Canis lupus familiaris: one gene and its partners. The protein of the gene in region 1 binds, or shares a complex with, the protein of each later gene. Links are inferred from orthologs where the notes say so. Each region holds a gene or a part of one and is shown on either strand. Other genes may lie near its edges.

Region 1 (3,513 bases):
GGGGCGGGGGCAAAGCTCCTGCCCTCGGCATGGCACGAGCACCACCCCTTCTCTGCCCACAACATCCACAGAGCCTCAGGTCTTGGGGGTTGGGGACATGTCAATGCCTCAACCAGGAGGTCTGTCCCTGCATCCCAGGATCCTGTCAGTCCCAAACGATCTACGTTCTGTGGCATAAAGATAAATGACCTTGGAGCATCCTGCTTAAGAGGTCAGGGCATTTCAGATCCAACCCACAAAGGACACGCTGCTTTTGGCATCTCGCACTCAAACCCAGCTGAGATCTTTCTCCACAGGCCTCGACAGAGTAGCCGAGACCCCTTGGAGCCCGGACCCACCCGCCAGCTGGCCCGACCCCAGCAGGGCACCCCACGCACCTCTTTCTTCTTCCGCTTCCCTTTGGACCTGTTCTCCTTGAGCTTCTTGGATTTCTTCTTCTTGGGAAGGCCCACAGGCTCCTCAGGGAAATAGTCATCAAAGCCTCCAAGGCCACCATCTTCTTCTTCTGGAGGAGTCAGAGTGGGAGGGGATTACTCTGCGCTCCCCTCGGGGAGCCCCCAGAGACACAAAGGCAGAGGCAGGGCCCAGAGGGTCAGCCAGCTCCACAGGCATCCACCTGCCACCTCGGTCGCCACCCCTTCCCAGCGGACAGTGCCTCTGCCTGCCCCAGCCTCCTACCAAGCCCTCAGAGCCACCAGACCAGACCCAATGAGTAGAGTCCCATATCAGGCGGGCTGTGTCACAAGTCCCCACTTCTCTAGACCTTTCCTCTCTTCACTGTAAAATGGACAATAACCACCCACCCTGACAAGATAGAGCTCAGCAACAATGTTCTGAGCAAAAATGAGCAGCTAATTAAGAATCCTCATTGGCATGACTCCCCCAGGATGGAAGCAGCCCCACAGAGTCATGAAGCCATCTCTGGGTGGCTCCAGGGAGGGGTCAGGGCCTATTTCTGCCCTCTGCCCATGGTGTGGCTGGGAAATGGCCTGTGAATGCAAGGCTAATGGGGATGCACGGGTCACATCACCCCAGGACCACCTAGAGCCACAAGCAAGGTCCTTGAGGGCTTTGGAGGGAGATCAAGGAAGAGGATGCCAGGTTCCCCCTTAATGAGGATCAGAGACCACATTGCCTCTCCCGCCCAAACCCGCACACACACCCACACAGTACACGCACCCCCAGTCACACATGCAGGATGCCAAACCCATTCCGGCTGGGCACCCTGGAAGATGTGAAATTCAGAGAGATGCTGCATCCGCCACACGTGGGTTTTCCAAAAGCAGCCACGATTTCCGAGCTCCCCTCCCTCCTCCATGAATTTAAAAGGCCAAGAGGGGAGCGGGACAGGTGTGAGTGTGCAGCTGGCTTCAAGCTTCATGTTACTCCCCCCTCCAAAAAGGAGGGGGCTTGACATGTGGCCCTGGGGCCTAGCTCCCACTCAGGAAATCAGAAATGAGAAAGGGCAGCCAGCCCTAAGTTCCTGGGGGTGGGGGTGGTGTTAGATGAGGAAGAAGGGGAGAGTGGGGAGGGTCCTCCAGAGCAGAGATCCATCCAGAAGAAAGCCACCAAACCTCCCAGGTCCACAAAAGGGGCCCATCAGAGATCAGCGCTCCATGCCAGCCATGGGCCCTGAGCACCCACAGTCAGGCTGTCCTACCCCATGCCCCTGCACCCAGGGGAGCAGAGAAGAACCAACTGGGGATCCACCCCCACAGGGGTTGAGGGGACACACAACAGGGAATCTCAGCCTGATTGGGTGTGCCACCCTGTGCCCCTGAGGAGGGTGCCCAGGAGACTTTCACTGGGGAAGGGCGCAGTGTCCCCACTGAATCAAGTTAAAAGAAACAAAGCTCCCATCACCCTCCCCAGGAAGCCTACCACCACATATCGTGGTCAATGATCATGTGAGCTGCACATCACAGTGCAGACATCCCCTGACATACATGGACACACCTGTCCTCCAAACAGGGCCCCCCCACCCCCCGCCTTGGACCCCTGTCCCCTAGAGTCCCCCAGGTCCTATGGCTCCCATCGCCACCCTCTGGGTGCAGCTAGAGGGCGCTGGTGACTCCAGTGGCCAAGTGCAAGGCCTCCTACCCTAGTGCCTTACAGGGCTGGTCCCTACCAGGGGCAGGTGCAGGTTGCACCACTGTCTGGGCACCCCTCAGTCCTGAGGCCCCCCTCTAGCAGGTCCGGGTCACCGTATTATAGAGCCCTCCCCCACCAGGAGTCCATGGAGGAAGGCAGCAGGGCACACTGGAGCCCCAGAGCACTCCCCATCCTCCTGGGCAAACATAGGTATGGAGAGAGACTCCCTGCAGGACTGGGAGCTGCTGCAGAGAAGGTGGCCAGAGTGCTGGCTGTCCCCGGAGGGCCAACTTCATGGTCCTGGCTGGCACAGGGGGACACAGCTGCCAGGGCTTGGCCAGGGCTATAGCACACAGGGCCAAGCAGTGGCGGGTCAGCCCAAAGCGGAGTTTAATGTGGGCCAGGTCTTGAGCGGAGCCAGGCTGAGGCAGAGCTGCACAAGTTGACCCTGTCCCATCCTGTCCCTCTTGGCCCTGGCACCAGAGGGGCATGGATTTTTTGAACCAGTTGAATTATGTGCACAGAGACCCCCCCAGAGTCATCCTGGGGTCTGGAGGTAGTGACAGAGCTGTCTGTCCACACCTGCTCACCCCCACACCTGCCCCTACCTCCCCTAGAGCCACAGGGAGACTGCCTGGGCAGAGCCACCCCTGTACCCCAGCAATGCCCAGCACCAGTTATGTAAGAAGCTCGGGCTGATGCAATCGGGAGGGGCCATCTCCCTCCTGCCACCTCCCCCAAGTCACCCGTTCCCTTGGCAGGGCAGTCCCCCAAATTGGGAAGGCCAGCTGAGCACAAGGTCACTGACTGACCAACTGGCCATCAGAACACAGAGGGGATGAACAGGTGGCTGCAGGAGGATATCTGCCTGGGGCGGAGGGTACGGGGCCAGGGGGTGCCCCACAGGGTAGCCCTAATCCACGCCCAGAACGATCCTCAGAGGATAAGATCCCAGACCCTCTGCCCAGAGACAGAGCCCCTCCTCCATTCCCAGAAGACCTCGTGGCTCAGGGCCATCTGCCTGATTAAATCCCTCCTCCAGGAAGTTTCCAGAGCTGGCACACTAGGATAGGGACCCCACCCCGTCCACTCCCCATCTCTGACAGACCCTTCTGGTTCCTGAACAGATTCTGGTAGCCCTGAGGACATCCCAGGACTGAGCCCTGTGACACTCCTTCCCAACACCTCATGATTCCCTACACCATCTCCACCCTGGCCCCATCTCCCCCTCCTACATCTCCTGTAACAGCCTCTGAGTTTTCTAAAACCAGACCTCGAAAGTCATAGCTAAGCAACCCTGCCTGGTGCCCCTTGGCTGCTCCCCAAGCCCCCAGCCCCGGGCCCCCCTCAAGGCACAGTTAGTGGTAAGGGGGGATCCCACTCACCCTGGGTGAGGGCCCCAGGAAAGACCACCCCAGGGAC
Region 2 (2,921 bases), on another chromosome or scaffold:
TCTTTCTGAATTAGTTTCTGACTTGGCTTCTTCCTCCTTCATCTCCCAGGGGAGTTTGAGGAGGAATCAAAGCAGCCAGGGGTGTCAGAGCAGCAGCGACATCAGCTGAAGCACCGGGAGCTTTTTCTTTCTCGGCAATTTGAATCCTTACCAGCCACCCACATACGGTATAGGACAATCAAGGCCACTGTGGCCTGTAGGCACTTCCGTAGAAGCTGGCAAGGGAGGGGGTGGTGTATTGGAGATGCTGTGGAGAGGCAGTGAGGAGCTCACCCGGGGTTTTCTGACTTCTCTTCTGTAGGGGGAAATGCAGTGTGACGCTCCTGAATGAGACTGACATCTTGAGCCAATACTTGGAAAAGGAGGTGAGAAAGAGGTGCTGGGAGAAGAAGGAGGGGGGTGGGTATGTCCCAAGGGGCTAGAGGAAAGTAGAACCATGATGAGGCACAGGTCAACTGGCTGACCGCCTGTCTTGGGAACTCTGGATCCTCCTCACCACCCCCAGCCTCTGAGGACTGCTGCCTGCTTACCCTTTCTTCCCATCTCCAGGACTGCTTTTTTTACTCACTGGTGTTTGACCCTGTGCAGAAGACACTTCTAGCTGATCAGGGAGAGATCAGAGTTGGTTGCAAATACCAAGCTGAGATACCAGATCGCTTGGCAGAGGGTAAGCGACAGACCAGACCAGTATGGCTACTGGGTTATCTAACATGGTAGTGTCTATGAATAGTATGCCGTGGAGTTTTACACTGTATAGTCTTCATGGCTCTCTGCTGTCACCCTGATAGGACAGGACCCTGGGAACCTGAGGCGGGCAGATGGGCACAGTTGGGAAGAGAAGTCTGAAAGTTGAGGTGGTGATAAAAATCCAAGCAGGATTTTATAAAATTTTATAAAATCCAAGGAGGAGCGAAGTGCTATTGTGAGTATCAAAATACTTACTATCCTCCTTTACCTTTCTCTGATGTTGCCGTCTCCCTGTTTCCAAGGAGAATCTGATAATCGGAACCAACAGAAGATGGAGATGAAGGTCTGGGACCCAGACAACCCTCTCACAGACCGGCAGATTGATCAGTTTCTCGTGGTGGCCCGGTGAGGGGTGGGTGGATGGGAAAGATGGGCTGGGGGTGGTGTGGACATCTTGCATCGAATTTGCAGAGGTGGACTTGATTGTTTTGGGGGGGAAGTGGGTTTTTTTTGGCAGGGGTGGCATGGGTGTTTTCCTTATTTGGCTTAGTTCCTCAGCCCAATCATGCCTTCTTTTCCTCTTGGCTTCTCCATCTCTCCCTCAGAGCTGTGGGCACCTTTGCAAGAGCCCTAGATTGTAGCAGTTCCATTCGGCAGCCAAGCCTGCACATGAGTGCAGCTGCAGCTTCCCGAGATATCACCTTGGTGAGCAGATGTGGCTGGGCAGTTGGGCAGGCTGGGCTCTGTGGGGGACCTGCAGAGCCTGGGGACAAGAGAGGAGGGGTCTCTGAGGCTGTGGTGTTGGAGGGGCTCAGGCCATCAGCATTGTTTCCTATCTTCCTTGTAGTTCCATGCAATGGATACGTTGCAGAGGAACGGCTATGACTTGGCTAAAGCCATGTCGACCCTGGTACCCCAGGGGGGCCCGGTGCTGTGTCGGGATGAGATGGAGGAATGGTCTGCTTCAGAGGCTATGCTGTTTGAGGAGGCCCTGGAGAAGTATGGGAAGGATTTTAATGATATTCGCCAGGACTTTGTAAGTGGATGGGGCTGGGAGGAGAAGTGGAAGAGATTGTCGTCTCTGGTAAGGGAACCAGGACCTGGGACCAGATGCCAGCTCTGCTTTCTTCCCTCTGCCTCCTTAGCTGCCTTGGAAGTCACTTGCCAGCATAGTCCAGTTTTACTACATGTGGAAAACCACAGACCGCTATATTCAGCAGGTATGGGCTGGGCTGGGCAGGGCAGGGCAGGGCAGACTGGACCAGGGACCTCCTTCTCACCTCTGCCTTTGGGAGTTGATGACATCCTCCTGCAGAGATACTTTGATCTTTCTTTTTTTTTCCCCTTCCTGCAGAAAAGATTGAAAGCTGCTGAAGCAGACAGCAAACTAAAACAAGTCTATATCCCCACCTAGTAAGTGTGGTAGGTGGGGGAGGTTTGCATGTTTTCTTTTTCTCCCTCCATCTCCCCCAACTCATGCTTTGCTCAGTGACTGGCAGTGGGCAGGAGTCAGGATCAAAGAGTCAAATGTTGATAGAGATGAGATGGAAATGGATTCTCTACCTTGACCAGTTCCTGGTTTCTCCCCACACTGTTCCCATTAGTACTAAGCCAAATCCTAACCAGATCATCTCTGTGGGCTCGAAACCTGGCATGAATGGGGCTGGATTCCAGAAGGGCCTGACCTGTGAGAGCTGCCACAGTGAGTTCCATGGGAGGATTGGGATGTTGTGGGTGGGGGGGGGGGGGGGGGAGGTGAGGTCCTCTCTGGCCCAAGGACCTGAGGGACTCTCGTGTAGTATTTTTCCCACACTGCCCCCTTCTCTCCATGCTCCTACAGCCACACAGTCTGCCCAGTGGTATGCCTGGGGCCCACCCAACATGCAGTGCCGCCTCTGTGCTTCTTGTTGGATCTACTGGAAGAAATATGGGGGACTGAAGACCCCGACCCAGCTTGAGGGGGCTGCTCGGGGCACAACAGTAAGGAGTGGTGGGGAACAGGCAGGGCAGAGCAGTAAACATATCGATGTGAGCTTTAGGGGAAGGCCAGAGCACCCAACCCCTTCCATGGTGATGGTTTGATGTGGGTATGGGTGGGGAGGGGGTGCCCCGTGATGGTTGGAGACTGGTAGGTTGGGATGGTGATAAAGAGTTCAGGCAGGAGGGATGCCTGGGTGACTCAGTGGTTGAGCGTCTGCCTTTGGCTCAGGGTGTGATCCCGGGATCGAGTACCA
Region 3 (4,071 bases), on another chromosome or scaffold:
TGTCTGGAAGTAGTTTGGAATGGATTGGCTTTTTATTTTTTCAATTTAAAACAAATTTTTATCAAGGTTTATTTGAGAGAGCACTTGGAGGAGAGGCAGAGCGACAGGGAGAGAGAATCCCAAGCAGACTCCTCACTGAGCATGGGGGGGGGTGTGTGTGTGTGCCTGGACACCGCCTCCAGATAATGACCTGAGCCAAAATCAAGAGTCAGGTGCTGCTGGCTTTTTAAAAAGTTGTTTGCATTCATTTGGGGGATTGCCAGCTAAGATTCAATTCAATTTGTTTTTTTGCTTGTTTCTGTGAGGGAATGGAGGCTGAGAATGCTGGGATTGCCTAGAGAATTGGCATGGGAAAATAATGATTCAAAAGCATTAGGCACATAACTAGTTAAAAGTCCATCAACAGTAAGGGGACTGAAACCATCTCCCCCTTTGTGGAGAGGGGGTGGGAATGGCGAATAAGTAGGGTCCCTTTCCTAAGGGCCTCTTTTCCTGGCAGGGCGGCACTGGATATAGGGTCTGTCTAGAGGCCAGGCCTCCGCTGGGAGTGGGTTCTGTTCAGCCCACGCGTGGGGTGAACTTGATAGACCTGTCAATGCAGTTGGGGTGACTTGGGAGGGGGTCAGTGTTTTTGGACTTCTCTCCAGCTAGCACGCTCCCTGGGGAAGCTGGTAGCACCAGGGTCCTCCTGGCCCCAAGGTATGCGGGTTCCATCACCACCATGAGGCAGGCGCTCTGCTGGGCGCACTTATTTGTTTCCAAGTGTTTGCCCTGAGGCAGGCGCCCACGTGCTCAAGGTCTTGCATACAAGGGCTCCCCAGGGACGCAGCAAGGAGGAAGACCTGTCTGCGGGTGGCCAGGTGACAGGGTACGGTGGCTGGGGCTGTGTGGGCTCGGGAGAGCCTGAGCCCCTGCCCCCACCCCAATTCTCCCACCGCTCCAGGTCCGCATTTGCCACTGCAGGCCTCCGCTTCGGCCACGACCCTTGCCCTGGGGTCGCCCACCTCCGGCGAGGGCCCCCAAGCCGCCGCCTCCCCAGGTCCCCGCGGGCCCCGCAGCGACCTCCCCCGGCCCGGCCCGGCCCGGCCCGCTCGGCCCGGCTGGCCCGTCGCTGGGGGCGGGAACCTGCCCCCACCCCGCGGCGTCCCCTCCCCTTCGCTTCCCCCTCCCCTCCCCTCGGTGCCTCCCTCCCCTCCCCCCCGCGGCGAGGCGGCGGCGGCGGCGGCGGCGGCGGCGGCGGCCGAGGCTGAGGCGGCCGAGGCTGAGGCGGCGGCGGCGCGGCGCGGCGGGCGGGGCTCGGCTCGGGCTCCGCGGGCGGGCGGGCGGACATGGCGGCCAACATGTACCGGGTCGGAGGTAGGAAGGCTCGGCCCGACCCGGCCCGTCTGGGAGCGGGCTCCGGGAGTGGGGGGTCGGGGCGAGTTCACCCTAACCGCCGGGGGCCGCGGGCGCGGGGGGCAGGGGCGCCGGGGCCCGCAGGAGGGGCCGGGGCTCCCCACCCGCGCCACCCGCGCCACCCGCCCCTCCCCCGGCCGTGGCCCGCCGGGGGCCGGCGCCCACCTTCCCCCTCGCTCGCACCCCCGCTCAGTTTTCTAGGGCCGGCCGGGCCTGTACTTGGGGGTGTGAATTCTCAGCTGCCCCCCTCCGAGACGCCCCCATTGGGTGTCGGCCGTCGAGCCCCCAGTGGGGTGCTCTTTCCCTGCGTGGCTTCCAGGCAGTGGGGGGGTTGGAGAGGATGGGGGGACGCCCCCCCGCTCTACTCCTTCACCCCTTCAGTTGGGAGCGGGGGGTGGGGGCGATGGGGGCTCAGCCAGGCACAGCTGGACAGGCCTGTTGGCGGGGATAGGGCCCTTCACCTCTCCTTCCTCACTCCCCCCTCCCGTTTCTTGCCCAGCCCCCCCAAGATGGGGCGTAGTGGGGCCAGGGCACCGCGGCCAGAGGTGGGGAGTTGAGCTCTGCCCGGACGTTTGCTCTGGTGACTGCCTTCTCAGCCCTCTGCAGAAAAGAGAAATAAGGTCAAACAAACTTTCTCCCTACTCACGACGCCCTCCTCCCTCTTTCTTGGTAGAATAATAATTCAGATAAGTGGCGTGTTTGTGTGTGAGACTTGGTCTTCTCTGCTCATTAGCTGAGCTCCTGATGGATGGTAGTGGGAATGGCCTGGCCAAATGAGGCCACTTTGCAGAAGAGAGACGACGGAAAGAGCCACTAAGATAGACAATAACAATGCAGCCCAGCCTTTCAAATAAACACACAGTGGGAAGTTTCCAGTGAGCCTATTACAGGAGAGGAAAAGCCACACTTGAAAATTTTTATCTTTTTTATTGAAAGCCTGCGGTGATTTTTTTTTTTATAACAAGACCCCAAATGGATCTGTATTAAATATGGTAAAGAGCATAACAAAATCCTGATAACCATCTCCAGAGAGCTCTGTCTCTCAGAAAGGGAATCCCCTTTCATGCCCCCCCCCCCCCCCCCAATCATCCCAGATAGAGCTGTGGAAGTTTGTCAGTGTGCTTCCTCTTACCTATTCTGCTCACCTGATTTTTTTTTTTTTTTAAGTTGGTGATTGAAATGTACTTTGGGCTGCTAAGCTTTTCAAGATGCTCTGAATTTGTCTTAGGTCAATAGTTTTATGTGAGAAGCATACTCCAGGGTAAATTGGATTGGAGGGGAAAGATGTGGAAGCAGTTATAGCATGAAAGACACATGTTTAGTCAGCCCTGACTACTCGGTGATGAGGAGTCTTTTTGTTTATTATTAAAGAAGTGATGTGTGGCATGAAAGGCTCAGAGAGCTTGATAAAACATTAATTGTTAAATGAAAATTTCAGGAAAATAAGGGTCTGTGAATAGTAGGCATGAGAAAATATATTAAGGTTGTATTGCTAAATTTGCTTTTAACCGGGAATGAATTATGTGCTTCATTTTGAATGTGCATTGCCTAATATAGAAAGTCATAGATTGACAAATGTGAACTTTCTGTTGAAAAGATTAAGGTCTTTACTTCCTTTAATTACAGATTATGTCTACTTTGAGAATTCCTCCAGTAACCCGTACCTAATCAGAAGGATAGAAGAACTCAACAAGGTATAAACGCTAAGTGTTCTTGATTCTAATATTAAAAAAAAATTGTTTTCCATTGACGAGTAATTAGGTAAAGGGCATAAGAGGTGATTTTACTTTCAGTCCTGGACTCTTTGAAACTAGAGATTGAAGATTAGAGAGTTATGCAGGATTCTGAATATTCTTTTGCTTTTATAATTACCTATGATATTAAATGTTACTGAATATTTAACATCTGCAGATTTCTGGGATGCCTGGGCTCAGTGGTTGAGCATCTGCCTTTGGCTCGGGGCGTGATCCCAGAGTCCCAGGATCAAGTCCCACATCGTGCTTCCTGCATGGAGCCTGCTTCTCCCTCTGCCTACATCTCTGCCTGTCTGTGTGTCTCTCATGAATAAATAAATAAAATCTTAAAAAAAAAAATCTGCAGATTTCTTCACGTTGCTCAGATCTTCTCGGAGCAGGTCACTCTTGTAACTGTCCCTTTTTATATTTAGAGTCATAATTGTATTTCTTTCAGGGAATTATTTTTTCCTCTTTCAGCTTTAGAAAGAGGAAGCTAGGAAATGTAGTATTGAAGCGAATTTGTAAAATTTTGGACTAGGTCAACTAATAAGAATACAGTTTTGTTATAATGTAAAGTAGCTTCCTACTTTAGGCCTGACAGCAGAAGCTTTGTGACTGTTTGCAATAGGTGAGCTTATTATAATGGTAGCATATGAAAAGCCATAAACTATATGAACCATGGATTACTAATGGTGCTCTGGTTTCCTCCAAACCAACTTTGAAGATTATTTGTTTTACTTATGAGAGTTCATAGTGTTAAAATGTCGGAAGCTGTCTTGCTAATACCTTTCCTCCAAAGTACCTTCTAGAGACTGGGGAAGTTCTGAGTCCCAGGATGTAAGATTTGGTTTAGGGCATTTCTGGTTTATGAACCCTGAGATCTTGGTTTGCTTCTGGAGACATCCCCATGGACCTTACATCTATAAAAATTCTGTTGTAG
Region 4 (4,199 bases), on another chromosome or scaffold:
GCTTCTCAGGTGCTGGAGAAAAGCAGCAGCAGTGCCCCCTCTCCTCTGAGAAGTCAGGACGTGTTCAGAACCTTCCAGGGTTGACTGGGAGGTTAAGATTTTAGAAAATTAAGACACGTGAGGGCCTGGCTTATATGAACTGACATTTCCACCCTGCCAGGCACTGACTGCCAATCCAGAGAAAGAACCCTCTAGGCCCGGGCTGGCGACAGTGCCCTCCAGCTGTGGAGGCGGCTAAAGCTCCAGGCTGCCCCCTGGTGGCACCACGTGTAGGAGGGTAGGGCTCACAGCTACTGGAGCTTAAGCCTTTTCAAGACTCAGAACTGTGAAGGCCCAGGGCTGGAGGAGGGCAGGGTCCCAGCCAAGTCAATGGACAGTAGGAGCCAGGCCAGGCCAGGTTCAGTGGCCCTGTCTCCCACCACTGCATTGCCCCTCTCCCCTCCTCGATCTCCTCTTTTCCAATTTCTTCCTGGCTCAGCAGAAGCACCACACTCAGAAAGATTAAGAGGTGAGAGAACAACTCCAAATTATCTTTTATTTATACAAAAAGGGCATATTTAGCAAAAGACACTGACTGAAAAAAGAGTCGCTATGGCCCAGGAGACAAGGCAGGGAGGTGACAGGCCTAGGGAGGCCTTGCTAGGGGAGGAGTCTAGGAAAGGTGGTGACAAGTCCTGGGTAAGTGCTGAGTGGTGGGGGCCACAGAAAGGAGCAAGCTCCAGTTGGATCAACACTGTTGGCAGGTCATGGGCGGGACTCACAGTGACCTCGCTGCTAACTCTTGAAAGAGTCCCAGTCAAGTGTTGTCGGCTGGAGTGAGAGCCGCCCCCTGGTTCCTGGAGGGCACCCACCAGGGGACACAGGACAGGAAGCCCAGGTTGGGAAGTGCAACTCGGGGTGAAGGCCAGGGAGAAGCAGGTGCTCTGCAGTGGCCAGGAAAGGTCCAGACTCGGCGGTGGAATTGCGTCCTGTTACGTGCGGGCGTTCCGCTCTGTCTCTGCCAGGCACTCTCTGACTAGGGCCCGGGCATGGATGATGCCTGAGGTGGGAATGGGCAAGTAACATGCAGCGACCCTGCAGGGTCCCACCCTCATCCTCCAGAGGAAGACCCTCCTTCCCCACCCCCTTTCCTTCCAGTGAAAGGGAGGAGGATGATAAAGGGCCTGATGAGATTAACGATTTGGCTAATCCTCAAATTTGTCCTTTTGAAAGACAAATGCCCTGGTCCTTCCCCCCAAACGGACTCAATTTCAATTCAATTCAAAACACCTCCCTGGAAAGTGACACCCACCCTTGTTTAGGCTTGGGTCACGCGGCCTCCAGATGTCCTTCCTTTGCTAAGGAAGGATTGTCCAGTGTTAGTCTCCTGAGCAGGGAGGGTGGAAGCCTCACTTACCTCTCTTCAGGCGCTCCATGGCGCTCTTGCTGCCAGCATAGGTGGGCCGGATCTCTTTACCCATCTCCTCTATGACCGACAGCAGGTCCGTGTAGGTGCTCTGGGAGCCCTGGGCGCCAGGTGGCTTCATTGCCTATGTCAAAAGAGGACAGGGCCATGAGCTCAGGGCCCGCGGGGACCTCCAGTCCCCGTCCGTAGGCAATCCCTCACCCCACTCACCTGTACATAGCCCATGGAGGGCGGTCCAAAGTCGTTAAACAGGGGCCTGAAAGGGGCAGCGGCTCCCGGCACTGAGCCCGACGGCGATGGGACACTTCCGGCTGCAACATGCGCGAGTAATAGGTCAGCGCGGGGCCGGGACCCGGCCTCCCAGCGTTCCAAGCCCCCGACCGGATTCGCCCGCTTCCCTCCAAAGGGATACTTCGCTCCAGGCGCTCAACTTCAGCGACAAACCCCTCCCCCTGCGCTCCACCAACTAGCCCTTACGTGACCACGCCCACTTCACAGGCCAGCAAACTGAGGCTCAGAGAGGGGAGGCAGCAGGCCCAGTGTTGCAGAACTCGGGCCGTGTTCTCGAGACCTCGACCACCCGGGCAGGCGAGCAGGGGTAGAGTCGGATCCTCACCTGTGGGGACCGGGGTGCCGGGCCCAGGGGTGCTGGAGCCGGGGGTGCTGCTGGGGGCGGGGGCGATGGGTTTGTAGGACATCCCCAACTCTCGGGTGCGGCGGACGCCGGCCGGCCGCTCCTCCGGGGTTGGCTGCTCGGCCGCTCAGCCGCGCTCTGATTGGTAAACCGGCCGCACGCCCCTGGTAAATAGAGCTCAGGCCGGAAGGGCGGGCGGGCACGAACGCTCTCTCACTCCCGATTGGTGTGCGCGGATGTCACTCGGGCCTCCTCATTGGCAGAGATCGGCCCCAACAGGCCGCAACCGCTGCTGATTGGTCTCCGCCTTTCGGACCTCGCACCTGTCTGCTCCGGATTGGGCGGTAGCTGACGCCCTACGCAATTGGCGAGTTCGGGGTCCGGGCCGGCGCGCTCTCAATCCGATTAGTCCCAAGGCCCGAGAGGCGGGGCCTTGGAAGCCGGGACCCGGGTCCGGTCGGCCGCGTTTTGCGCGGAGGGGTCTTCCCGGCGCGGGCGCCGCCTTCACGCTTCACTGGCGCTGCTCTGCACGTCAGCTCCGCACCGCCTGCTCTCGGTCCAGTTGGGGCTGCTATCACTGCCGGCGCCAGCACCGCGCGCGCCTTTCCACTGCACTGAATGCCGGAGGACGCAGGGCTTTGACGTGCGGAGCCCTGCGTCTCACCCCGTGCGCTTTTACGTCACCTTTCGCCGGCTCCACACCCTTTCCCCGGCCTGCGCATGCGCCCTCCTAAAGCTTCCGTTTGTTCCTATGGCAACGGGTCCCTCATCGACGCTGCCTCCGCGCCTCTCGGGTTTGCCTCGTCCTTTGGTCTAAGCTCGTGTTAGGTCCGAGGGCGGCCTCAAAGACCCCTCAGCCAGTCCTCCAAGACTCCGAGCCTGGGCCTCCTACTGGCAACAGCAGGATCATCTCGCCTTCGTTGAATTCTCGCCGCTCGCCGGGCCCTGTACCAAACCGATCTTGGGTGAGAGCACCAAGTGGAGCGAGGCTGATGGTTCGAATCTCACCCCACCGCACCAGCGATTTCCCCTTGGGCAAGTTACCCTAGTATGTTTGGGTTTCCCCATCGTAAAGATGCGGACGTTAGTAATAACTGTCTTACAGGGTTGTGTGGATAAATGAATATTCATAAGGAGCTTGTTTCATTGTCCTCTTTTCTTTCCATTTCTGCATCCAGACCCCTCCCCTCAAATTTCATTCCTCACCACCCTAGATCTTAGACTTTCCTCCGAACACTAACCCTTTCTCTTGGGCTACTTCGCCTCAAAACTATTCTGGCCTTGTGTATTCTTCATGCCCCAGGTCTGTAGATTTTCCTCCTCTCCGTGACATTTCATTCATTCGTCCATTCATCCAACAGGCATTTTCTGACTCCATCCTCCATCCTTGTGCGGGACACTGATGATATGGAAATGAACTGGCCGTGGCTTCTCTCCTCAAGGAGCTCCTGGTCTCAAGGAGAGACAGACAGGAAAGCAAAGGCACACAGCACAATAAGACAATGTGGAGACTGGTATACAGGATGCATTGGAACTAAGAGGAAGGAGCCTGCTTGGTGACATCACAGGAGTCTTTGCAGAGGAGGCAGCTTTCAATTGGCGAATGAACAAACTGTGATATATCCGTATAAGGGACTATTTATTCAGCAATAAAAGGAAATCATCTATCTAGCTCTGAAAAGACACAGGTAGGCATATTTCTAAGCGAAAGAAGCCAGTCTGAAAAAGCTATGCGCTGTATGGTTCCAATTGTATGACATTCTGGAAAAGACAAACTCATACATGAGGTAAACAGATTACTGGGTGCCGGGGGTGGTGAGGGGTAGAGTTAAATGAGTGACATCGGGGATTTTTTTTTTTTTTTTTTTTTTTTTTTAAGGCAGTGAAGTTATTTTGTATGGTAGGATTGAGACAGCCTCACTAAAGGGGTGGGGGAGTAAGGTGCTAATCTGGAAATGGGCGGAGTCTGTAAGTGAATGTAAAGGAGCTGCGGGTAAGCATCAACTTTAGTTGATGAAGCGGTTTTCTGTGGCAGTATGGGTTAACAATTGTGAAGCCACAGCACATGTACACTAGAATTGACAGTTAAGTCAGGATGGATGATTTCTTATTGTTGGAATAAGTAGTGACAGGTAAGCATGTGGAGGAGGCTAACACGAT
Region 5 (3,513 bases), on another chromosome or scaffold:
CGGTGAGCCCAGGTGAGGCGGCAGCAGGCGTGCACGCACAGTTCCAGGCATACTCGGCTCGCAGCGGATTTTCACCTCTGCAAACACAGCAGCCCCCTCTTCCCCCCGCCGCCCCGGCCTGCCTGCTGGGGGCTGGCGGAGTCTGATGATAGGCTCAGGGGCCGGGGGAGCCCCGGGACGGCTTGGCCTGCCGTGGGCCCCGGGCGGCCAGGTGTGACAACGGGGGTGCCAGAGGCTGGCTCTGGCTTGGATCAGGCTCCTGAGGCAGAGGCAGCCCGGCAGCCCGGCAGCAGCAGTGCGCTCTGCGACCAGGACACGGGACAATGGCTGCATCCGGCGTGGGCATCTGCCCGCCGGGACCCCTCGCAGTGCCAAAGAGACCACAGTTCAGTTTATCCTCTTCCAGGAGGGCCACCACCCCCGGCCGCTCTTCAGCCTGCAGACGCCAGAGTCGGGGCTCGTTTGGGGGGCTGTGTCCTGCACAGCTGGGGGCAGAGCCCCACAATCCGGCAGGCACGACAGCTTCTGATGAAGCAAACTTGCTCCCAGAGGACAGGGCGGCCGGTCAGGGGACACCTGGGGAGAGCCCGCGCCCAGGGCAGCCAGCCAGCGTGTGCAGGACGCCCACGGCCACGCTGGCCAGCCCCCCGCGCCAAGGGCACGTCCTCAGGCAGCCCAGGCCCGCAGGCTGCACACCCGCAGGAGATCCACTCAGCTCCTGTGCTGCGGCGACAGCACGCTCCAGGCCAAGGGCGGGGACCCACACGGCGTGTCCCACTGGTCAGTGCCCAGCAGGCCGGCCAGGGAGCCTGTGCAAGCAGGTGGCTTGAGCGGGGCCGGTCACCAGAGACGCGTGTGCTCCCTCGCCTCGGGGAAGGTCGAGCCTCGCGGGCCCACCTGGGGTCACGGCAGGAGGGCCCCACACCGCAGGGGCGCGACGGTTATCCCTCCCGGTCGCCCCTGGAGCCTGCGGCACAGGCTGACTGCGGGTGGGACGTTCCTGGTCGTAGCCGGTGTCCCTCCTGGGGGGCCTCTGCCCTGAGGCCCCTCGCCAGGTGTCCAACCCCTCCCGGCCTCTGGAGTCTGAGGGCCATGGCCAGCACCAGCCACCGCCAGCACGTCTGTCCCGCCAGCCCAAGGGACCCTGCAGGCCCCCACGCTGCACCCACTTCAGTCTCCAGCGTATGAGTGGTGGGGCACAGTCCGTTCCCTGGGAGGGTCCCGGGCTCCAGGGGCCACCCTGTGCCCGCCCTGCTGCAGGTTCGCTCGACCAGGCCCGGGCCCCACACCCCGAGGCAGCCCTCACAGCCTCCTTGGGGCCGCAGCTCAAGGGTCTGAGGCGGCCGCTCGGAGGAGCCGAGGAGCCCTCTCCCTGGCACCAGGTCACTGCCCGGGAAACCGAGGCCCTCTGACGTTCGGGCCACTCTGGGTCCTCCTCTGGCCGTCACCAGACCTGTCACCCTCAGCCACGCAGGGAAGGCAGCCTGGCACCCGCCGCGGACCTGCCACTGTCGGATGGGCCAGCCGAGCCCCGAAGGACGCCTGGTCCCCGGCACCAACCACGCCCACAGCAAGGGGATGGGCCTTGCTTGCTCCTCAGAGGCCGCCAGGGGAGCCGGCGTGAGCAGGCAGGAGGAGCAGGTGCGCTCGGGGACCCCACGGGAGAAGAGCCAGAAGGGGGACGCAGGGCAGAGGGCCAGCGGGCCAGGAGGGCAGCCTCGCCACACACGGGACAGAGGGAACCTGCGTGCCTCCGGCGTGGCTCCTGCCCCGTCCTCATCTCCCACCGGCGGGACCACAGAGAGCCAACAAGCCAGCACGTGAGCCCATTAGCGTGACGGCGCACACGTGCCTGTGCATGTGGTGGTCACGCGGGCGCGGACAGGGCGGGGGGGCGGCACACAAGCCAACACCAGACCGGCCTCAGGGGGATGGAGCATCACGTCCAGGGAGATGCAGAGGCCACAGAAAAGGGAACCTGGGTGCTCAGGAACTGTCCTCGGATTAAAGCCAGGACCACAGACATCGGGAGGGAGGCCGGAGCCCGGGGCCCTGGGCTGGGCTGGCGGCCGGGCAGGCTCCACGGGAGCAGCTCAACGAGCAAAGACCTCAAGATCACCAGGGCCAGCGGGCCTATGTCGGGGTGACGAGGGTGGTCTCAGCAGCGGGGCGGCAGGGGCGGCGCCTGCACGCGCCACGCCCGGGCGCACTGAGCCACGTACAGGCTCCAGCTCCTGGGACCCAGCCCCAGCCCCAGCAGGTGGCTCCCAGCTGGAGGCAGGACGCACGGCTCCTCCGACCACGACCACGACCACGGCCACGGCGGGCTGCGCAGAGTCACCGGCAGCACCGCCCGGCGGCGGAAGTTGGCAGCACGGGCAGAGACTCATTCAACAAGTTTCTTTGGAGAAAAAGCTCAGCAGGGCGCCCGAAGGCCGCGGGGGGCGCCTACCTTCCTTCAGCAGGTCAGTGATGTCCGCCTGGTAGCGGTTTCCCACGCGGATCTCCCCCTTATCGGCCAGCAGGGTCTTCTGCTGGGGGTCGTAGACTAAAGAATAGAAGAAGAAATCCTGAAAGACAGCACACAGGACGGCGTCAGCAGGGCGCCCGCGGCCTCACTGAACCGCCGCAGGGACCCGGGCCCCGGCCAGCCCGACCGTGGGGGGTGGGGGGGGCGCTCGACAGCGACAAAAACGCTCCAGCGCGGCTCGGAGCGGCTGTCACGGGAGATGCCCACGCGGGGCCACAGAATGTTCCGGGCTCGATGCCCCGGGCTGCAGCGCAGCAGCCGCCCTGCGTTTCTCGCCCGTCCTGGGGGCACACCCGGCCCTCCTGACCCCAGCCCCGCACGGAGCTCTTAGAATCTGTGTTGAGCGGGTTGGGCTGTTCTCCCACGGCTGCAGGTCCAGGTCACGAGCGGAGCGCCCCCCGGAGGCGGGCGACCACACTTCCAGCGCCTCCTCCAAACGCCTGGCATCTCCGTCCGCCCTGCGGGATGGACTGTGGGCTTGGCCCCTCCCGGCGGCTGCTCCAGCTCCCGACCCCATGTCAAGCCATCGCGGGACCGCACCACCGGCTCTCCTCAAAGCCACGCCGCTCGCTTCTGCACGCCGTTCCCGGCCGCAGGCCAGGCTCCGCGCGGTGGGAGGGGCTGTGGCTGACAACGAGGCCGCCCCTCAGGCCTCCAGCCCCTGCAGGCCCCACCTGGCCCCCCAAGGCCCGCGTCCCCGCATCCCGAATGCAGGCTCCGCCCGGGCCATGCAGCTCCCCAGGGACACACGCGCTGTCTGGAGACATTTTCGGCTGTCACAACCGGGGGCGGCATCGGTGGGTCGTGTCCTACAAACGCATGCGGTCCCTGCTCCTGTGTGTGGGATGAAAAGGCTGGCTCCACGGCCCCGAGCCCCTGACAACTCGTGTTTTTGGTTTTAGACTCAGAAACCCTTCCCGCCGCCTGGGCGTCCTGGCTCCGGCCCCATACGGTGAGGGTCCGAGGTGCTGGCCTGCGGCGGG

The links.
Region 2: CHD5 (region 1) and MTA2 share a complex: the UniProt entries of both Homo sapiens proteins name them as parts of the nucleosome remodeling and deacetylase (NuRD) repressor complex. The link is inferred for Canis lupus familiaris from reciprocal best matches to the Homo sapiens genes CHD5 and MTA2.
Region 3: CHD5 (region 1) and MTA3 share a complex: the UniProt entries of both Homo sapiens proteins name them as parts of the nucleosome remodeling and deacetylase (NuRD) repressor complex. The link is inferred for Canis lupus familiaris from reciprocal best matches to the Homo sapiens genes CHD5 and MTA3.
Region 4: CHD5 (region 1) and CDK2AP2 share a complex: the UniProt entries of both Homo sapiens proteins name them as parts of the nucleosome remodeling and deacetylase (NuRD) repressor complex. The link is inferred for Canis lupus familiaris from reciprocal best matches to the Homo sapiens genes CHD5 and CDK2AP2.
Region 5: CHD5 (region 1) and MTA1 share a complex: the UniProt entries of both Homo sapiens proteins name them as parts of the nucleosome remodeling and deacetylase (NuRD) repressor complex. The link is inferred for Canis lupus familiaris from reciprocal best matches to the Homo sapiens genes CHD5 and MTA1.

What each region holds. Positions count from the first base shown.
Region 1 is NC_049226.1:60,557,561-60,561,073, forward strand, and holds part of CHD5 (chromodomain-helicase-DNA-binding protein 5), read right to left. Parts: intron 506-3,513; coding exon 378-505; intron 1-377. UniProt on the Homo sapiens protein: ATP-dependent chromatin-remodeling factor that binds DNA through histones and regulates gene transcription. May specifically recognize and bind trimethylated 'Lys-27' (H3K27me3) and non-methylated 'Lys-4' of histone H3.
Region 2 is NC_049239.1:54,560,153-54,563,073, forward strand, and holds part of MTA2 (metastasis-associated protein MTA2), read left to right. Parts: exon of another isoform or gene 1-49; coding exon 50-167; exon of another isoform or gene 168-301; coding exon 302-365; exon of another isoform or gene 366-549; coding exon 550-667; exon of another isoform or gene 668-989; coding exon 990-1,092; exon of another isoform or gene 1,093-1,292; coding exon 1,293-1,392; exon of another isoform or gene 1,393-1,450; intron 1,451-1,534; coding exon 1,535-1,723; intron 1,724-1,832; coding exon 1,833-1,907; intron 1,908-1,967; exon of another isoform or gene 1,968-2,041; coding exon 2,042-2,100; exon of another isoform or gene 2,101-2,275; intron 2,276-2,291; coding exon 2,292-2,389; intron 2,390-2,527; coding exon 2,528-2,667; intron 2,668-2,921. UniProt on the Homo sapiens protein: May function as a transcriptional coregulator. Acts as a component of the histone deacetylase NuRD complex which participates in the remodeling of chromatin.
Region 3 is NC_049238.1:34,301,608-34,305,678, forward strand, and holds the start of MTA3 (metastasis-associated protein MTA3), read left to right. Parts: upstream 1-1,268; 5' UTR 1,269-1,328; coding exon 1,329-1,356; intron 1,357-3,021; coding exon 3,022-3,089; intron 3,090-4,071. UniProt on the Homo sapiens protein: Acts as a component of the histone deacetylase NuRD complex which participates in the remodeling of chromatin.
Region 4 is NC_049239.1:50,472,588-50,476,786, reverse strand, and holds CDK2AP2 (cyclin-dependent kinase 2-associated protein 2), read right to left. Parts: upstream 2,700-4,199; 5' UTR 2,104-2,699; coding exon 2,022-2,103; intron 1,717-2,021; coding exon 1,616-1,716; intron 1,530-1,615; coding exon 1,397-1,529; intron 1,040-1,396; coding exon 972-1,039; 3' UTR 502-971; downstream 1-501. UniProt on the Homo sapiens protein: Acts as a component of the histone deacetylase NuRD complex which participates in the remodeling of chromatin.
Region 5 is NC_049229.1:73,167,745-73,171,257, reverse strand, and holds part of MTA1 (metastasis-associated protein MTA1), read right to left. Parts: intron 2,571-3,513; coding exon 2,453-2,570; intron 1-2,452. UniProt on the Homo sapiens protein: Transcriptional coregulator which can act as both a transcriptional corepressor and coactivator. Acts as a component of the histone deacetylase NuRD complex which participates in the remodeling of chromatin.